2 linked regions of the Oryzias latipes genome follow. The protein of the gene in region 2 interacts with the protein of the main gene of each other region in a biochemical or structural test. Links are inferred from orthologs where the notes say so. Each region holds a gene or a part of one and is shown on either strand. Other genes may lie near its edges. The genes, in order: endophilin-A1 and E3 ubiquitin-protein ligase Itchy.

Evidence for each region.
Region 1: the proteins of E3 ubiquitin-protein ligase Itchy (region 2) and endophilin-A1 form a complex in vitro, tested with the Homo sapiens proteins (2 studies listed by BioGRID, with this or other methods). The link is inferred for Oryzias latipes from reciprocal best matches to the Homo sapiens genes ITCH and SH3GL2.

The regions. Positions count from the first base shown.
Region 1 is NC_019876.2:2,702,366-2,706,799, reverse strand, and holds the start of endophilin-A1, read right to left. Parts: upstream 3,047-4,434; 5' UTR 2,769-3,046; coding exon 2,724-2,768; intron 1-2,723. UniProt on the Homo sapiens protein: Implicated in synaptic vesicle endocytosis. May recruit other proteins to membranes with high curvature. Required for BDNF-dependent dendrite outgrowth.
Region 2 is NC_019865.2:2,019,874-2,023,690, reverse strand, and holds part of E3 ubiquitin-protein ligase Itchy, read left to right. Parts: coding exon 1-85; intron 86-2,021; coding exon 2,022-2,091; intron 2,092-2,530; coding exon 2,531-2,615; intron 2,616-2,690; coding exon 2,691-2,819; intron 2,820-3,817. UniProt on the Homo sapiens protein: Acts as an Acts as an E3 ubiquitin-protein ligase which accepts ubiquitin from an E2 ubiquitin-conjugating enzyme in the form of a thioester and then directly transfers the ubiquitin to targeted substrates.

The sequences.
Region 1 (4,434 bases), on a different chromosome or scaffold from region 2:
TGAAAGTAGTTTTATCTCAGTCACAACCAAACTGCTGGAAACGAGTGTAAAGTGACAGAAATCCATCAAATTTAGCTTCATGGAGTTTGTCATCAACCTTTAGTTTAGCCTTTGGTAGAGTTTTCAATGTAAAATACAGATTTCTTGAACTGCACAAAGTCAGGTTGTTTGTTTTCTTTAACCGGTGAGTTCAGGAAACCACACGGTTCTGCTCAGAGACGCCGTCAGACCCAGAAAACCCGTCCGATCCACATCACATCAGTTCTGCTTCTTCTGATGCAGTTAAAGAACTTTATTGAACCGACCCGAGTCGTATTCAGCTGCTCCTAATGTTCACCAACAAGGTTTTGTGCCCAACTGTTGTTGATCAATCTAAGGCCATACTCACCAATACCCATGATGCAACTGGGTATGGCTGAAGCCACCCAACATGACCGCTAAAAGCTGTAGTTTGACACCGTTGGGGACTCTAGTGTGCTACAGAACCGCTAGGTACTACAGAACTGCAAAGTACCGTACCACACCGAGAACCAATGTGTCTGTGATGTTGATAACAAAACTCGTTCAGACTCAACGGAAACAAAACTGGAAACTGCTAAACAACCAGCAGGGATACGCCTGAAACATGACAAACATGTCCCGTCTACACGTCTAGAGAACTGAAGGTCCTTCCATCATGTATTGATAGATAGTAAACCGTCAGACAGAATACTGAATCCCACGTGTTCACTACGACCTGTCTGCCGTAGAAAAACACATGCATGAACACGTTCTCTCTATGGTTCACCGAGCGGTGTAGGATCTTGATATTTCCCATCATGCCACAGCAGAACCTTTAATGTTTTCTGGTAGAACTCAGTGAAACAAACATTTAGACGGACGGACGGATTCCAGTCCGTGTCTCCCTCAGGTTCTGTCTGAGCTTTCAGGACGTCTCTGCTCTTTATTTCTCTCATTTCCTGCCGTCGTGACCCACTTCCCCCTCAGGGATCAATAACTATCCTCTATTTCCAGGTGACAAATGAACAGCAGTTTGTCCAGATGACAGCGGGACAGACGGCAGGCTTGAGGGAGACGGATTCGTTTCTAACCCTCATCTTTCTCTGATGTGCTTTTCTGCTTTTTAATGAAACCAGAGAAGTTGTGAAAGTCCCAGAAGTGCAGGACAGCCTGAAATAAACGGCGTCTTCACCAATCTGGATCATCTCCAATGTTGCATCACTGTTGGAGCGGTTGGAGAATGGAGGTGAAGCTTGTTTCCCTCTGGAATTCATGAACTTCTTGAACTCAAACTGGATTCCAACGTCAGCGTTAAGATCTCCATCAACACTGCCGTTTCAAGATTTGCCCAAACTGGTCCCTACATCCGACACAAACTGTGGGACTGTTACCATAGAAACCAAGTGGACGGATCATTGCTGACGTCTCACGGATTGTCCCGAACGGCAAGAATCAAGCCTGAATTGGGACGAACAAATTAACCGGAACTTTCTCCTCCCAACGTTACAGCACTGGGTGATGGGGCGGGACAAAGGACAGCAGGAGTTTAGTTAACTCCACCCTCCTGCCAGTCAGTACAAACAACCCCCCCCCACCCCCACGAGATGTTTGAGCTTTCATAAAAACCCCCACAAACGAAAAGGTCCCAACATGAACACCCTGTTCTACCTGTTCAGTTTTTCTGTGAAGTTGGACTTTTAACATGGGAGTCAGTGGGAACGGCTCCCATTGGAAACCAACCCTAGTGGTCATTAGATGAACTGCAGCTTTAGGTACTCTGGGGGGGCTAACCGCCCTTTGAAGTGTCCACTCACTAGGACACGCCTCCACTTTGATCTCTGGCAACAGAGTCATGTGACACAGCGGAGGAATCTTCACCTTCATCAACAGGCAGCTCCCAACCTCATCTTCATCAACCTCTCTTCTTCCTCATCCGCTAGAGTAAACCTCCACCCATCCATCCAGCCTGCAGAGCAGAGAGGGGGGGCTCCGGGCCGAACGGATGGACAGATGGAGGGAAGGACTGGAGAGGGAGGACGGTGGAGGAGAGAGTCAATGAAAAAAACAAGATGATACAAAGAATGAATGGACAAACGGAAAGATGGAGGAGGACGTGAAGGAGGGATGCAGATGGAGAGATGTTGGAGGAATGACAAGAACAGAAAGCTGTAGGATGAATGAGAGGATGATGGGAGGAAGAACAGATGAAAGAGGAGAAGTTAGAAAACTGAGGTGGAGGTGAGGAAGAGGGGGTGTAGTGAAGTTTGGATGAGGAGCCAGGATGAAGGCATGCATGGGGGGAGAAGATGGAGGAGGATGGAGGGAATTCCCTGTTGCGTTCAGCAGCAGCCAATCAGCTCCGGACTTTACGGATTCTTACATAATATTATAACCGAGCCTCAGCGCCGGGGTTTGCCCGGTTCTGCTGCCCGGTTCCCCACTCCAAACATCACGAGAACATCCTGTAAAGAACCGAAACTGTGAACCGGACCGGATCAGTTTGGACCCAAACGTGACAGGAGGATCCACCTGCGTGGATTAAATCTGTTTTCAGCATAAAATGCGAGATTTGTGGGAATAAAACATGATTTGAAACAGAAATGTTGTGTTTTAAACTTCCGTTTAGATTCATTTAAAGGTTCAGAACAACAGAAATGTTTGTTTTTAGATTTTAAACATGGAAACAAAGGCTGAACCGGGTCAGAACGGGCTAAAGCGCTCACCTGGGTGGCTTTGTGGAACTGCTTTTTCAGCCCCGCGACAGACATCTTTCGGCTGCGGAGGAAGAAAAAAGAAAGAACTGACGGCGGAAAAATTTCACGGAGAACGGAGTCTGGAAGTGGACCGGTTCGACCCGGCGGAACTCGTCCGTAAATCCTCCGGTGATGCGCGTCGATAAGTGTCCGTTAGCGCTCGGTGGGACCCGGTGGGAGCGGAGCGGAGGACGGCCGGACCAAACCCAGCTGCTGGATCTATTTTCAGGCGCACGAGCGAGGCGGAGGGCGGAGATCGTTGATGAGCGAGATGGATCACTCCAACGAATAAACCGAAATGATCCACGTCCCGTTTGTCCAGCTGTTTATTTTTTAAATATGCAATAAAATTTTGAGTTTTCCAATGAATAAATAGGATTATGCTTGTTCATTTTTTATTTATTTCAAAGACTTGTTTTAGGTAGTGTAATGTCTGAACTTGACATAAATTATAAAGAAATAAAACAAAAAAAGGAAAGAAATCCGTTTAACAATGTCCCATTGGCAAATGTTTAGATTAGATTAGATTAAATGACTTTATTTATCCCACCATGGGGCAGGAAAAACAATGTTCATAAATAACAGCAAAAGAAAGGACATCAAAACTGATATTCTCATTATAAATAAATACAGCTACGAAGGTGGCGTGTGATCCACTGCAAACGTGTGGTGCAATTTTTTGTTATATCCGAAAAATGTAAAAAGGTACACACCAATCAAACATCTGTTTAGGAATAAGAACATTTGAAAAACAACAACAACTACAACAAAATTACATAAATAAATTTAAAAAATGGTAAAAAAAAAATAGTTTACTGGGAAAGACTTCCAACAGCTTTTAAAGATTGTTAAAAAAAGATTTTTTTGTTGTTTTGAAATTAAGACCAATAAATTAATTAAAAACGTTTAACAAAGTTTATTTTAGCTTTTTTGAATTTGAATAATATTCTGTTTTGTGAACAAAAAATGTTTTTATTTCTTTTGATTAGAACTCTTCAAGAGTTTCTGTGGATAAAAAAAAAAATGTAAAACAATTTTACCAAAAATGTCACAGTTTGGTTTAATCCACATTATATAACTAACATCTACAGAGATTTTTGATAACTATGCAGGAAAAGACAAATTTCTCGTCAGTCAGACGTCTGTCTTCACAGATAGACGATCTTCAGAAGGGCGAGAGCGCAGGTCTGCTGTGACAGGAACGCGCCGCCCTCCACCGTCCACGAGCCGTCCTCGCACGCGCGACCCTCCTATGTGAAAGAGTTAATTCTACAGAATAATAATAAGATCACAGGTGGGGTCACGTGATCGAGCGTTTCTGCAGGCGTCTGAACTGTAACTGAACACACTGTAACTGAACAGACACCGACGCGGTTTCAGCACCACGGACAGCTCATTGGAGGGTCCGATGGCGCGTTTAAGGGCAGCTCGGACATTCAATTACTTTTTCACATGGACATTCCCCATTGATTTCTTTTTTTTTATTTTTTATTTTTTGTAAAGCCTAATATCAGTATTTCTACATCCTCCATATATTTGCATATGTTTTGATTTTTAAAAATGTGCTAATTTACCGGTTCAGTAAGCAAGAATTTCAACCAAACTATGTGCTTTAGTCTGTCTGATATCATTTTTGATATTTCTTTGTCATAAAATAGATTATTACCCCCCCCCCCCCAAA
Region 2 (3,817 bases):
GGTGCGAAATTACGAGCAGTGGCAGCACCAGCGCAGCCAGCTGCAGGGCGCCATGCAGCAGTTCAACCAAAGGTTCATCTACGGGGTAAGACGCCGTGTGTCAGCGGGTCAAAGGAAAGCCACTGACTGTGGTGTGCGTACACGTTATTTTTTATAAACAGTATGCAGGATATTTTGTCTTAAAAGGAGAATAACATATTTTGTGTAGACAATGGGATGGTGCATAAACCTTTTTTCTTATATGAACTCGACAAGTGGAAAAAAAAGTCTTTGTCCAATGCCAAAAACTAAATTCTGTCTGGACATTTGACACGCGATAAACCCCGGTTCTTGAACACGTTCTCATGGTGTTCACACTGGACAAGCAGGGAGGGGCTACTTCTTTTTCTACTGTTTACTGCAATCTACATTTGGAATTTACCCTTTATTTTACCAGGAAGTCTCATTGAGATCAATTCTCTTTTTCGAGGGAAACCTGGAAGAGCCTTGGTGCGAAATGTTAAAGCGGGGAAAATCTGGCAAATCTTACTCTTTAGGCTTTTTCTTACACTCTTTCCAGTATACACACTATTACCAACAGCATTGGCTCACCCATCCAGATGATCACAATCAGGTCCTGAGACTTGACCTGGCCACAGGTGTATGAAATTAATCAGGCATGCAGGCTGTTTTTACAAACGTTTTTGAAAGAATGGGCCGCTCTCAGGAGCTCAGTGAATTCCAGCGTGGAACTGTCATAGGACGCCACCTGTGCAACAAATCTGATACTGATGTTTCTTGGCTCCTAAATATTCCAGTCAACTGTCAGCTCTAACAGAACAACATGGAAGAGTTTGGGAACAACAGCAACTCAGCCACCAAGTGGTCGACCTCGTAAACTGATGGAGAGGGGTCAGCGGATGCTGAAGCGCGTAGTGCAAAGAGGTCGCTGACCTTCTGCACAGCCAATTTGTACAGAGCTTCAAAATTCATGTGACCTTCAGATTAGTCCAAGTACAGTATGCAGAGAGCTTCATGGAATGGGTTTCCACGGCCGAGCGGCTGCAACCGAGCCACATAATTTGGTGGAGGAGGAATCATGGTGTGGGGGTTGTTGTTCAGGACTTGTGCTTGTCCCGTTAGTTCCAGTGAAAGGACCTCTGAATGCTTCAGGATACCAAAACATTTTGGACAGCTCCATGCTCCCAAGCTTAAGGGAACAGTTTGAAGCGGCCCCTTCCTCTTCCAACATGACTGTGCTCCAGTGCACAAAGCAAGGTCCATGAAGACATGGATGACAGAGTCTACTGTGGATGAACTGGACTGGCCTGCACAGAGTCCTGACCTGAACCCGACAGAACACCTCTGTCAGTCAGAGTCAACTATTATTGTAATATTGGGCTACATAAAAAAAATAAGTTGAATTCAATTGATGGCTGCAAAAGGTGGATCCACATCATATTGAACTCTATGGGTTAAGAATGGGATGGTTTCAGTTCATATTTGAGTCAAGGCAGGTAGGTGAGCCAATGCTTTTGGTTACATAGTGTATGAAAGACCCTGTTTTATTTATTTCCAGCCGGGCACAAACCGTAATTACGATCTCCTTCATGATCAGTTTTCAAACGGTTGGCACTTTCGTGAATTACAAGGGGTGCCATCCATTCATCACTACCGTACGACAGAATCACCTGTATGTCATAAGTGCGTGCAATGTCCATTAGCCTAACAAGTGCTTCACAATTCACAATGGTACGTTCCATTTTCATGACGTTCCTTGAGGTGGCCGTACGAGCCTTAAGGGAACCGCTTCCCTTAAGACTGCTCCTCTCTAGGACCCTCCATGGACCGGACAATCCAAAAACCTGCAGCAGCCATACGGGTCAATCCCCCATACGTGTGGCTAAAAGCTTTAATCATTTAGTGTTGCAATTTATTTTTGACTCAAAGTCGATCAAGACCAAATTGTTCTGGTTCTCTTTGGGTTCTAATCCGTGATGTTTGTTATGGAACTTGATTATTGATAATAATTCTCTGTGCAGGTACAAGATCCGGCAGCAGCCGCTCAAAATAAGGAGTTTGATCCTCTTGGACCTCTACCAGCTGGATGGGGTGAGACTTTTTCGAGTTTCAAAACCAGGACAATTATATGGAGCAGTTTTTATGTTACTCTTTGCTACAAGTTTGGTTCCTCTTGAATTTGTTTAGTGTAAACTAGTTTCGGTTTGTTTTATAGCAGCATCCTAATTGAACCTTAATAAACCATATACTCTGTATTTAAATGTTTTTTTGGGATTTTTCCTTTACATTAAAGTCAAATGAATGCAGTTTGATGTAGTTTAAATATCCTGCCAGCTAATGAAATTGCATCTACAGTGGATTTCCTGCAGTTTTGAAAAAATGAAAATCGAAATACTATTGATTTGACTCTTAGCAAGCAAAAACGCAATGTGGGTTTTTTTTTTTTAAACCGCTAATGACTTTAAACCTCATCCTGCAAACCCATCAACCTGTCAACCATAGTTAAGTCACTGACTGGCTTTCCTTTCAGAGAAGAGAACAGACGCCAATGGCAGAGTCTATTTTTTGCATCATCCTACCCGTTCTACTCAGTGGGAAGACCCTCGAACACAGGGGTAGGCATGTGCTCACAGATTCCCCCGCCGCCTCCTGAAAAGGACGAAAGTTGATGTTCTGATGTCACTTCTCAGGTTGTTGAATGAAAAGCCTCTTCCTGAAGGATGGGAGATGAGGTTCACTGTTGATGGCATTCCTTACTTTGTGGACCACAACAGGAGAAGCACCACCTACATCGACCCTCGCACTGGAAAATCCTCCCTGTACGTCTGACCGCTTTTAAAGACGTAGATGTTCTTTTAAAGCACAGTTAAGCTCAGTCTTTGGTACCAACGTACACAGAAATTCCAAACCTACAAATGCATGTTTGTTTGGGGAACATTGTACGCAAATCATCTTGACGCATTCCCCGTTTAATCTGAGAGTTCGGCAAATCACGGGCAGAGTAAAAGAAAAATGAACTCATCCTAAAACTGGATTAAAATGTCATTTCTTAACCGTAGCTCCTCCTCCTCTCTCATTTTTGATGTACCATCAGTAGCAGCGTTTTCAGATCATCAATCTGCAGGCAATGTCACAATCCTGAGTAGTAATCTTATTGAAATGCATTTGCACAAAACATGAAGAAGAGGATTTTTTTTTTTTAACCTAAAGAGGTTTGGGTTTCCAGCTAATGTGGCGTTCACTCAAATGGACGTGTTTTATCTGCGGGCGTGGTTCACCAGACCGCAGAAGTCATGCACCAGTTTCCTGCAGTGAAAAAGAAAACCTGTTTGTTTCTGATATGCGATCATCTGAACCACGAGGCCGCGGCTTTTCCAGCTGATAAAACCTAGACGCGTTCGCCTCTTTGCAGACGTGATCGCGTCTTAAAAACCTGAAATCCGTTCCTGCATGAATGACTTCCAGATTATAGCTGAAATTCAAGATTACTCGATTTTTCATAAAATTCTTACATCTTTTATGATATCCACGTTTTTAATAATAATAATAATACATTTTATTTAAAAGCGCCTTTCAAAACACCCAAGGTCACCGTACAAAGTTAGAGGTAAAAAACAATAAAATCACAACATGTTAAAAACAATAAATAAATTGGATTCATCAGTTGACAGAAGATGAGAAATTGTGTTCCGGAAATGCGAGCTTAAACAGATCGGTTTTGAGTCTGGATTTTTATAGCTTTATATATTTCTGTTGCATCTTACAAGGGTAAATTCCAAAAATCTGGCCACTTTTGTGGGGAAAAAAACAGTCCGGA